3 linked regions of the Coturnix japonica genome follow. The protein of the gene in region 1 purifies or fractionates together with the protein of each later gene. This does not show direct contact. Links are inferred from orthologs where the notes say so. Each region holds a gene or a part of one and is shown on either strand. Other genes may lie near its edges. The genes, in order: IFT140, IFT122 and WDR19.

The links.
Region 2: the proteins of IFT140 (region 1) and IFT122 purify together in Homo sapiens (affinity purification with mass spectrometry; 4 studies listed by BioGRID and IntAct, counting the BioPlex papers as one, with this or other methods). This does not show direct contact. The link is inferred for Coturnix japonica from reciprocal best matches to the Homo sapiens genes IFT140 and IFT122.
Region 3: the proteins of IFT140 (region 1) and WDR19 purify together in Homo sapiens (co-immunoprecipitation; 3 studies listed by BioGRID and IntAct, with this or other methods). This does not show direct contact. The link is inferred for Coturnix japonica from reciprocal best matches to the Homo sapiens genes IFT140 and WDR19.

Annotation. Positions count from the first base shown.
Region 1 is NC_029529.1:11,954,997-11,959,368, forward strand, and holds the start of IFT140 (intraflagellar transport protein 140 homolog), read left to right. Parts: upstream 1-1,448; 5' UTR 1,449-1,642; coding exon 1,643-1,789; intron 1,790-1,974; coding exon 1,975-2,196; intron 2,197-2,410; coding exon 2,411-2,532; intron 2,533-2,979; coding exon 2,980-3,122; intron 3,123-3,966; coding exon 3,967-4,142; intron 4,143-4,372. UniProt on the Homo sapiens protein: Component of the IFT complex A (IFT-A), a complex required for retrograde ciliary transport and entry into cilia of G protein-coupled receptors (GPCRs).
Region 2 is NC_029527.1:16,827,742-16,831,390, forward strand, and holds part of IFT122 (intraflagellar transport protein 122 homolog), read left to right. Parts: intron 1-540; coding exon 541-681; intron 682-1,659; coding exon 1,660-1,757; intron 1,758-2,651; coding exon 2,652-2,752; intron 2,753-3,649. UniProt on the Homo sapiens protein: As a component of the IFT complex A (IFT-A), a complex required for retrograde ciliary transport and entry into cilia of G protein-coupled receptors (GPCRs), it is required in ciliogenesis and ciliary protein trafficking.
Region 3 is NC_029519.1:62,631,045-62,634,693, reverse strand, and holds part of WDR19 (WD repeat-containing protein 19), read left to right. Parts: intron 1-43; coding exon 44-101; intron 102-987; coding exon 988-1,134; intron 1,135-1,242; coding exon 1,243-1,325; intron 1,326-1,813; coding exon 1,814-1,897; intron 1,898-2,586; coding exon 2,587-2,733; intron 2,734-3,576; coding exon 3,577-3,649. UniProt on the Homo sapiens protein: As component of the IFT complex A (IFT-A), a complex required for retrograde ciliary transport and entry into cilia of G protein-coupled receptors (GPCRs), it is involved in cilia function and/or assembly.

The sequences.
Region 1 (4,372 bases):
GGAGGCCGGATCGCCCCGCGACCCCCGCGGCCTCCAGCGGCCCTAACGACGCTGCCGGCGGCGGCAGCGCTTCCCGGCGGGAGCGGCGCCCTGTCGGCCCCGTGTCCCCCGCAGCCCCGGCCGGAGCCGCAGCCCCGCACCGCCGGGCCGGGCCGGGCCGGGCCGGGCCGCCCCTATGGCCGCGCTGTGTCCGGGCCGGGCCGTTCCCGGTGCCGCGCTGTGTCCGCCCGGCTCCGCTTCCTCGTCAGTCGCTCCGGGCCGTGGGGGCGGGGCGCACAGCGCGGGCTCCGCTGGGCGCGCCACGACACGCCCCTTCCCGCGACCCCAAACAAAGCGTCCCATTGGCTGACGGCACGCGGGAACGAGGCGGGGGGCGGGGACTCGGGCCGGACGCGGACCAATGAGAGCGCGGCGCGGGGCGGGTGACGTCATCTGCACGTACAGGAAGAGGCGGCAGCCGGCGTCCGACAGGGGGCGGGACGATCGTCGAGATCTGGCTGTTGATTGGCTAGAAGGGAACCAATGGAGAGCTCTATCATTGGAGCTCTTGGGCACGCTCTCGAATGCCATTGGCTGGCGGGGTTGTATTGCTGCCCGATGCCGGGCTGTTCCTGTAATTAACGGCCTTAATGAGCTCGTTCATTAGCGCTGCAATGAAGGACATGAGCTGACTGACAGCCCTGCGGCCCTTTGCGAAGGTCGGTCGCTTCCAGGACTCCCAGTATCCCGGGCTGCTGGTTGGACCTGCTGATCTTACGGGGCTTTTATTTGATCGCCCCCACCATTCCCAGCTGTAGCGCAGAAATGTGCATTAAACAGTGCGGCATCAACGTTCTCCATGTTCGTCAATAACTGTATGGAGCCCCATCGCCTCACACAGAGTTCAATAACCTATAACTTATATCAGCGTTATGAGCACAGCCGGCCTTAAAGGACCCTCCAAGTGAGGATCTGCACACAGGGCTGGACAATTGGGGTGTTCCTAACGCAGTGCTTCCCCACCCAGGTCCGAGGATTCACACCAAAGCTGCTGTTCATCTTCTCACCAACAGGGAGCCCTAATGGCACAGCTCTATTCCCAGCAGCCGCGGTCAGGCCATAAGGGGAAGGGATGGAGTGATGGGATGCACCGTGTGACCGCAACCAGCCTCTGTCTGCACGGCTGGGGACGTGCTGGGCAATGTCCCGTTATCCCCGTCCATCCCGGTATCAATACACACTGTACAATGTCCCGTTAACCCTGTACATCCCGGTGTCAATACACGCTGTGCAATGTCCCGTTAACCCTGTACATCCCGGTGTCAATACACACTGTACAATGCCCCGTTAACCCTGTACACGCTGTGCAGCCCCTCACCCCGCTCACACCGGCTCAGCTCGGTTCTCCCCCCCCGCTCCGTCCCGGCCGTTTCCGTCGCTCTTCGGTTTCGCTCCGGGAGTTTCCGCTCTGTGCCCCGCCCCGTTGCCCGGGGTAACGCGGAGCATCGAACCGCGGCCGGGCCTTGTCCCCGCAGCGCCGAGCGGCGGGTGGGAGCGCTCCTCGTTCCGCGTTACGGGACCATCGTCCTATTTGTGTCCCCGTTTTTTCCTCCTTCCCCGTTCAATCCCTCGTGCAAACTCGCAGTCGGTGGCGGCTCCTGCCATGGCCGTGTACGTGGATCACCGAACGGAGGCTCCGGATTCAGTCGCGTCCCCTTGTGTTATATCGTGGCACTCCGTTCAGCCCCTCCTGGCAGTCGCTTCTATCAGCACAGCATCGGGAGGCTGCGTGGACATCTACCTGGAGCAGGTGAGTTTCATAGCTTTGCTGCTTTGAAACTGAGCTTCTGCATTTCATTCATCTGCAGTTCCAAGTGTTCCTGGTGATGCTCAGCTGCTTGTTAGGCTTAGCAATAGGATGGCCACATGCTTTGAGTAAAAGTGAAGGTGTATCTTCATCCTTGTGCTGATCCTGCACCTTGCTGCTGTTTGCAGGGAGAACACGTTCCTGACGCTCACATCGAGAGGAGCTCCCAGGTCACGTCGCTGTCCTGGCAGCCCTGCAGGCTGATCCTGGCGGCTGGGTGGGACAATGGAGAAGTTGTTGTACTTAACAAACACGACAAGGAGCTTCACGCTGCGCCGACAAACCACAGCGCCAGGATCACCGTCCTGAACTGGAGCAGCAGCGGATCCCGCCTGGTGTCTGGGGATGGGGTGAGCAGCTCCAGTGTCAGACCTTGGGTCTGGAATACAACACACACCTCGTGATGGGAAGGGTCATGGATGGATCGCTATGGGATGGAATAGCTGTAGGAGCCGGGGGGGGATTCATTTCCTTGCTTTAGGTACAAATTGAAAAGGTCAGGGAGGAAACAAATGTAATTGTTTTAACTTTTCTACAGTTCTTTCAATTTGCCTTTTTTTTTAGCACGGCATCTTGTTTCTATGGAGAATGGATCAGCGAGGTCGAGTGCAAGGCCCTCCCTTGCTGAAACATGAGTATGGACAATGTGTGTCACACTGCATCTTCCGACCACCCCCTCCTGGAGAGTAAGTGCTGCGTCCTGCCCGAGTGCAGGCGGATCAGCTCTCACTTGTGCCACAGAAAGAAAAACCTTTTCACAGACCATTTCTATTTCACATCTTTCTTAATGATCTCGATGAGGACATCCTGGCCTGTATCAGTGAGCAGGACCAGGGAAGTCATCCTGCCCTGTACTCAGCATTGATGAGGCCTCACCTCGAGTGCTGTGTTCAGTCTGGGGCATTTCTTTGTTTCACGTATCTCTTTAAAGGGGGGAAAAAAGGGTGAAGCAATACAAGTGAAAACTGGTACTAAATGAGCTTTATATCTTTTGGGGGTTAGTTGGTTTCCAACCAGCGTATGAAACATCTTTCTTCTCTCTTTACAATACTATGAAGTATTCATTCCTTTCTTTAGGACGGAATGCACTCAGTTATGTAGGGAGTTGGAAATGAAGTATCTCTTGTTTGCAGAGACTTCCTACAGCTGGCAAAAGCTGCTGTGAGCGGTGATGAGAAAGCCTTGGATATGTTTAACTGGAGAAAAGCTGGAACAGAAGCACCTCTGAAAATGGGACTCCAGGAAGGACTGTCCTTCTTTATCACCTTGACTGACGGTGAGAGCAAAACCACTTTTCTCAGCTGCTGTAAACTCGCCTATTAGTGGTTCAAAACAGTCTAATGACAGCATTTCTGCTACATTCCACCCCTTCATAGTGTGAACCAATGACTGAGCAGGTTAAAGGTAAGCCCTTTCCATTATGGTGATCCAGTACACCACAACACTTTGTACAGTTTGCCCGTAATGGCGTAGATGGACAAAATATGATACGGCTGATAATTGGGTTGTGGCTGAAATTCATGTTCCTTTGTGGGCCAGTACTCAATGGTTCTTCTGGAGGCACATGGTTGCTTGGACCAGGGAAGGTTCGACTCACATTTCATCAGTTCCATAATAATCTCTAAACTAATAATCTCCCCCAAGGTAGAAGTAGGCCACAGGTCTTTGGTACTATTTGCGCCTTCCAAAGCCATTCTATTTTATGGGTACTTCCTGTCAGTAGCAGCTTTGAAAGGGAGCATCTGTTGGTAGACATCCCCATCTAGAGACGGACTGGGAGTCCTGCAAGTGGGGGCACTGAGGATTTTAAAAGCCATCGTTTGCCCTTTGCATACCTGCACATGTATGCAGAAAGTGTACTTTTAATTGAGAAATATTTGTGGTGTTTACAACACCACAGAAACAACTTGAGTTGTTTGCATTTGGATTTTCCAGATGAGTGACAGCAAAAGCTGCTGTAATTGTCCACAGCCAGAGACAAACTGTGAGGCAGCAGTTGTGGCCCTTTTTCTTTTAGCACTCGAGGACTATTTCATTGAAGGAACAAGGAGCATATTTGATTTCTGTGGCTACAAGAGCTGTTAACTAAGAGCTGTGTGACTTGTTTATGTGTACTACAGGTTCTGTGCACTACGTGAATGAGAAAGGAAAGACAAACCACGTATTGTCAGCCGACAACCGTGTACAGAAGCTTCTGTTCATGGAGAAAAAAGATGCGTTAGTTGTGATAACAGAGAACCTGCTGCTGTCCTTGCATACAATTACTCTCGAGGGAGATGCCAAGGAGCTCATGAAGGTGTGCATCGAACAACAAAGTAGAGTTGCAATATTTAATCTCTTTTATTTCCTTCATTCAGAAATGAATCAGCTTTTTTTCTCCTTTAATGCCTCAGTGATCAAATGTGCACATTTAAAGGTGAAATAGAAGTGTGCTACTGAACTTGGGAAGATGGTTTTCGTCTTGCTCTTGTGTTTTGTTCATTGAGACCCTCCTTAATTTGTCTTATTGAATTAAAAGGTGATGCT
Region 2 (3,649 bases), on another chromosome or scaffold:
CTTTATTTCATTCCTTTATTGTGTTTATGCCAAGTGAGAAGTCAGAATCTAACTTTACACTGGCTTCTGAAGTTCACTGAAAGAGAAGCTGTTAATGAGTGCTACAAGGATATAATAAATAATATAATCTTCTAAAACATTCAACATTACTGACTAGAACTAATTTGAACTTACTGTAGTTTTAAATGCAGGTGCAATCTGCAGTGTTTAGAGATTGCAATTGCTTGAAAACAGATCTAATGATTGTTGTGCTTTTGCTCTTTCCTATATTAAAGAACAACAAAAACACCGGAGGTGTACAAGACATAGCAGCTCAAGAGCCCCCAAGACAGTGCAAAAGCCACAAAACACCTACAGCTGCATCTCATGTTCCATTAGTGTTGCTGCTTTCAAGTAGAAAATACCAGTGTATAATCCCTTCATACTGCCCTGGATAGATGATTTGATATTGTCTGAATAGACTGCTCTTAATTTAAAAACATTAATTTCAGCTAATTGATATAATTGCCCTGTAAAATCCTCTTTGTTTTGTCTTTGTAGCATTCCACAAGGCTGGCAGGCAGAGAGAAGCTGTGAGAGTGCTGGAGCAGCTAACACACAATGCTGTGGTTGAAAGCCGATTTAACGACGCAGCCTATTATTATTGGATGCTTTCCATGCAGTGTTTAGATATAGCCCAAGGTAAGTAACTGAAAGGCTTATATTTTTACCTTCTTGTGCATGTAGGCAGACAATTGCTAAACTGTGATAGCATTGCTGCAGCTCCTTCACTATTTTTTTTCTTTTATACTGTGCATAGTTTTGGCATACGCTATTTTTGTCTACTGGTTTTCCCATGCTCTTATGTAAAACAGATGAGCAAAACAACAACAGCAGTGTGCGTAGGCCTTGTTTTGAAATCTGGCTGGAATCAAAATAGTGCATCCTTGGGAGCCTGTGTCCTTGTGTAGCTTCCCTCAACACGCTGCAGGTAGAGCAGTGACTGAGGGGTCCACGTACTGGTATCTGCAAGGTGGTTCTGGAGCATAAGATCTGCTTAGTACTTGAATGTAGGTAGGGGAGGTACTTTACAAATTGTTTCTGCCAACAAATACAAAACTGTGAGCTATCATCTTGTCTTCTGAGTGTATTTCTCTGGAAGAGAGGTAGAGCTAGTGCTTAGGAGAACTAATTTGCCAATGAATACCAGGGTTGATAGTACTGTGTTTTGCTCAGTGCTTTAAGTGCCTTTTTATTAGTTCACCTGAGAGTGCTGATATGTTGCCTCTGAGGTATTGTGTGGAGATGCAAACTGTTCCAGTTTTTTTAGTAGTGTGTTTAATATCCATGAAATGTTTCAAAACTCATTTTATTTGTAAATTCTGAAGGTATGAATGAGCTTTACAGAGATGCACAGCTGCTCTTTTCTCCCTTTACCTAACCTGTAGCCTCTAGCTATATTAAAGCCATTACCACTCATATTTGAGCATGCTTTTTTTTGAAGTAGAAACTTGCTCCCAGAAGTAGCAAGACTGTATAACCTGTGTTTTGCACAGGTAGATGGGGGACACTTGGGCTGGTGTGTACTTCATTTGGGAGTATCACTGTATGTTGTTTTCTTCACACTGAGTCTCAAAGGTTTACCTGGGGGGGCTTACACTAATGCCTTTCTCTCCGCAGAGAATGAAGAACAGCAGACTGAAATGTTGCAGAAGTTTCATCACTTCCAGCAATTGGCAGAAATCTACCATGTCTATCACTATATTCAAAGATACACTGTAAGATATTTACTTTAGAAGTTGTGTGTGTATTCCTGAATGTTTTTCTTTCAGAAGTCCAGAGATAAAGAAACATTTAATGACTTCACACAATTAAATAGAGTGTAGATTAGTGATACTGTATAGCAACATTTCTCTGCTTTCTGTTGTACTGCAGAAGAACTTCTCTTGTCGTAGTTCTTAAAAAGTGCCGTGCCATTTTAGCAGATGTGTGTTTGTCTCACTGTGTACATAGAGAATATGAGCATGGCTGACTCTCCACCCCCAGTACTTTCTTTGCTGGCTGTGTTGATTGGTTCCAGCACCCCGGATCTCAGGTCCTTTACAGGTTGCAGTGGGTTCTTCCTTTAATTGGGGAAAGCAGGTTTATACAGAAGACACCCTCATTCAGAGATTCCCACAGCATGTTACCTCTTATCAGTGGTGATATATGTAAACTTCTCCAAAAGATGTGCAGTCTTGAGAGGAGAGCTCCTGCTGCTCCCAGCAATTATAGTAATGTTCCTACAACTGTTGGTGAAAATATCTTCTGTGGAACATATGAGAAGCCTCTAATCTATGCCCTTGCCCAAAAGACGACTCTGTGCAACCAAGGTCTCTGCTAGTCAGGCTATGTCAGACCTTTCAGTGGTGGAGGCTGCCCACTGTTCATGCCTTGCTTTTATATAGCCTGGTAAGGATTCTATTTTAGCTGTGTGGATCCCTTTCTGTCTTTTTCTGTGTGTAACAGGCATGAACTTTGGTGTTTAACATGTGAAATCCGCTTGGTGTGTTCTGTCAGCATCTGCTCTTTTAGCAACTGCATGAACTGCATGACAATACTTGGGATGCCTGGTATTGTGATGTGTAGTGATGTGAATTGTCTTAGAAATGTCTCTATTTTTAATTCCACAGGAGGAACCTTTCAGTTTCCACTTGCCTGAAACACTCTTCAATATTTCCAGGTTTCTGCTTCACAGCTTAACAAAGGAGACTCCCTTGGGGATCTCAAAAGTGTATCCTTCCAACACTGCACAGAATCTAGAGGCTGAGGTACACTAAAAGAGTAATTGATGTTGAGCCACAGTGCAGAGATCTACTTTGGGTTATGTTCAGTTTCAGCTGTGGGTTGTAGCTAATTGAATTCGATTTATGCCCCTAGGGAAATAATCAGCACCTTCAAACCATTGTTTTTAACTGCACTGTCTTCTTTTTTTTTTTCCTTATCGTCTTGGAGAGCTGAACAAATCAACATGTAATTCTCAGCCACCCACCCAGCATGATGTGTGACTTTGTCAAGGAGTATTAGTCATCCCAACAGGATGCTGGATCTGAATCTTGACAACCTTGAGCTCAGATGGGAGCAGGGGGAAAAAACAGCCACTTTTGCTCCATCTGAGGCTGTTATAGCTGTGCAGTGTCTCTCAACCTACCATTTGCACAACTTTGTGAGTGCATGTTGCATCTTTTGGAAGTAGAATCATAGAATCCTTAGAGTTGGAAAGGATTTCTGAAGGCCATCTAGTTCAACCCCCCCTGCAGTGAATGAGGAAATCCACAGCTAGATCAGGTTACCTCATACAAGGCCTGTGCGAACGCTGCAGAAATGCATCTGTCCATAAAAGACAACAGAAAGGGTCACTGACTGACAAAGGGAAGGCAGTTTTTCTTCCGTTACGGCTCTGGATGGGATGTTTGCTTTCCTATTAGTAACTTCCTCACTTACATATACTTCCAAAATGTCTTTCCTAACGTGTGTTGTTAGGGTTGTGATTGGTAGCGTTCAGAACAGCAGTTACTGTTACATGCTAATGAAAGAGACAGCCCTTGGTCACTGACATGGAGCTGGTGCTGCATTCTTCTTACTAGGCAGTGTGTGCTTAACGGGTGTCAGTGCACTGATGGTGTTCCAG
Region 3 (3,649 bases), on another chromosome or scaffold:
TCCAATTAAAACTTGTTCCTTACAATTTCCAATTCTCTTTCAGGGGCGATTATATTAATGCTCTGGCACATTATGAGAAGGGAATCACTGGGGACAGTAAGGTATTTCATTTCTGATATTGATAGCGTGCATAGTATCATACACTGCGCTTTTAAGTGTTTTGTTTCAGACTGATTTGAATTCAGTTTTTTTATTTCAACACTAAATCTACACTACATTATTTTTAATAACCAGAATGATGCTTTCTCTACTCGTAAAACATTATTGCCATTGTATTTGAGTAGCGTAACAAGCCTTAGCTTGAGCATTTCCATAGTAGGTATGCAAACAGTGTTGCTAGGATTTCATTGTTAAAGCAAAAATCTTCATTATTCCTTTGCTTATTCTTTGCTGAATTTTTATCTGCGTAAAGACAGACTGGGATTGCATTACAAAGTAGGCATCTTATTCAATAGATATTCCCTTTCTCTGGCATTATTTTCCCTAATATTTGCAAAATACTGTGAAACAGCTCAAATAATAATAGGGGAATTTAATAGAGAAAATAGCAGATTCATTTGCCTTCATAAATTGTCAGTGGCCTTACCATCTTTGGGAAAAACAAAACAAAAAAACACCAAAAACATTAAGACAAAAAGAGATTACAAGCATTTTTTTTTTTTTTTTTTTCTACTATTGGCTTAGAAGGAAAGAATGGAGTAGCACTGAGCCATCTGTAATAATATCTTTTCTGTGTGCTTGGCCAGGACAGATCTTGGGAGTAAAATACACAAATAAAAGACAAAAGGGTAAGGAAAAAAAATATAAACAGAGTTTTTCTTAACTACTTAAAAAAATAGCTGAAGCTAAGCAAGAATTTCTGGACAGAAATTGATTGCACCAAGTCAATATAATGTTTTGTTATTTTAAATCAGTGTTTTGTTACCGTGGCTTTTATGAGCTGCAGTTTCTGATACTTACTGTCTCTGCTTTCCATTTTGTTGCTAGTTCCAGGAACACGATGAAGCTTGCCTTGCTGGAGTGGCTCAGATGTCCATTCGAATGGGAGATATCCGTCAGGGCGTAAACCAGGCCATTAAGCATCCCAGTAGGTTACTAAAAAGAGACTGTGGAGCTATTCTGGAGAGTATGAAGGTACTCAAGCAAGTTAATAAATCCTAAGGTTGAATATGTGAATACAGTAAGATACTTATTCGTAATCATAATTTACAACTGATATTACAATGATTGTCAATATTACAGCAATTTTCAGAAGCTGCACAGCTGTATGAGAAGGGACAATATTATGACAAGGCAGCATCAGTTTACATCCGATGTAAAAACTGGTAAGTACAGATTGCAGGGTGTTCTATGTGTTGAAGAAGAGATTGTTTCAGTGTGATGTGGTGCTCTTAGGAAAGGAACAGGTCTGCAAATGTCTCTCTGCTTTTGTGGTTCCTCTTCCCAGGCTCGAACAAGAACAGCATTCACCTCTTAGAAGCTTATGTTGGTTTAAATAGCTGAACAATAATAGCTGTTGGTTTAAATAGATGAATTGGAGACAAAAAGTGGCACTTCTTATGCTCATACATCTCAAATGAAGAAGATTCTGTGTTCTTTAAGCCCATTTGTTCATGAAGCAGTCTCTTACTTCTCATTCTGTTTCCAAATATTAAGCACAACTCTTTAAACATTTTAAAGTGCTTTCAAAGCTTACACATTATGTTAAAAAACATTTTTTTAACGTTCTCTTCAGTATTGATATAAATATGCCTGTTCTACCAGGGAAAATTGGAAACCAGAAGTATTTCTTCACCGTGTCTTGTCTTTCCAGGGCAAAGGTTGGTGAACTTCTTCCTCATGTTTCATCTCCAAAGATTCATCTACAATACGCAAAGGCCAAAGAAGCAGACGGCAGGTGTGTTTGCCTCTTTATCTGTATTTATAAATACATCTTAATAGCTGCCCTTGCAAGGCACTGAATAAAGTGTAATTATTGACTAAAATGACGAAGACCAAATCAGGCCTTTATCATTTCAGCCCATAGTCACAAAATTTTAATCACAAAGTTTACTTTTCTGCTTGTCACTATCTGTAGGGAAATGCACTTCAGAGTAGCTTATAAGATGAGACAACCAAGCCTAAATGCATGGATTGGTGAGAGTAGAAAATATTATTAGTGTTAATTGCATAGTGCAAGAATGAGAAATTTCTTCAACTCATTTACAGAACAGAAAATAGTCTCATTTTAGAAACTCTGCTACTAGTTATCTGTTAGGATTTATTGTTCTCTCACTCCCAACTGATTTAATGTGGAGCTGACAGAACAAATGAACTGCTTCTAAGGTACACGAAAGTGGATGCTTGACAGAGTAAGTTAAACATACTTCTGTGGTTTTCTGTTGTCTCATCAAGAAATGTCCTCCAAAGAGAACATAATGTGGAGAGAAAAGAGGTTAGTAAATATGAAACAAGCTTTTTAATGCAAACTGAAAAGTTGTCACACAAAAACCTCTAAGAAGTAAAATACTTTATGTTTCTTTCATACCATACTGAAAAGAGTTATTTAAAAATTAGAAAAACTGTTGTGGAGCTGTAATTTTTCAGGTACAAGGAAGCCGTGGTAGCTTACGAGAATGCAAAACAGTGGGACAGTGTAATCCGACTGTGTTTGGATCACCTTAATAATCCTGAAAGGGCCGTTAATATTGTGAGAGAAACCCAGTCTCTTGATGGAGCAAAGATGGTGGCCAGGTAATAATAATACATTAAGGAGTTAATCACTTTGAGAGCTGTTAACTGTTTCTTCTGCATTGTTGCTGGAGGATAAAATTGTGCTCAGAACAGTAAATCAATTTTATTTGTTTAAGAAATCCTATAAGCTTGTAGAATATATCATATTGCCTTGAATACATTCTTAATACATCCCGTAACTTACCTCAATCTAACATTGGCTTCTTATTCTACTGAAGTAATGTATCACCCTTCAATCATGATTGCATTGTCTAAGCTAGTGATTTTCTAGGTGCAGCTATGGAGAGCACAGTAGAATTAATTGTTATATACAGTTTTCATATTAACTTCTTTCAGGAAGAATATTCTTGTATATTAGTATTGTATATTAGTATTGTATATTAGTATTGTATATTAGTATTTTTATTGAACTTACAGCTTATGAGATGAGCAGTTAGAGTTTTAAAAGCATGGAAGAGGTCATACCTGGTGGAAGTTGGTGAGGCATGCTAGAGTATCAGACTCTGTTAGTAGTGCTTGGTTAATAACTACATATTTCAGTTTAGTGATTGGAGTTCTTTAAAATTTGGACAACTAAGCAGATACTGCTTTATTTATTTTAACTCTTCAATTGAAAATTACATTAGTGTGAAGTAATGAGATTAGACAATAATCAAAGTTTGCCATGCTGCGTTATTCATAATAAGTTATTTTTAGTAACCTATTTAAAAGATGAAACATGTAGATACAAAATAAATCAGAAATATATCATCCTTGCATGCTACAAAATACAGTATGTTTCTTAATGTTTGGAGCATTCCTTGTGTTACCTAACTAAGGCATTGATCTGTTCATTCCGACTAGATTTTTCCTGCAGCTCGGTGACTATGGTTCTGCCATCCAGTTCCTGGTCATGTCCAAATGCAATAATGAAGCT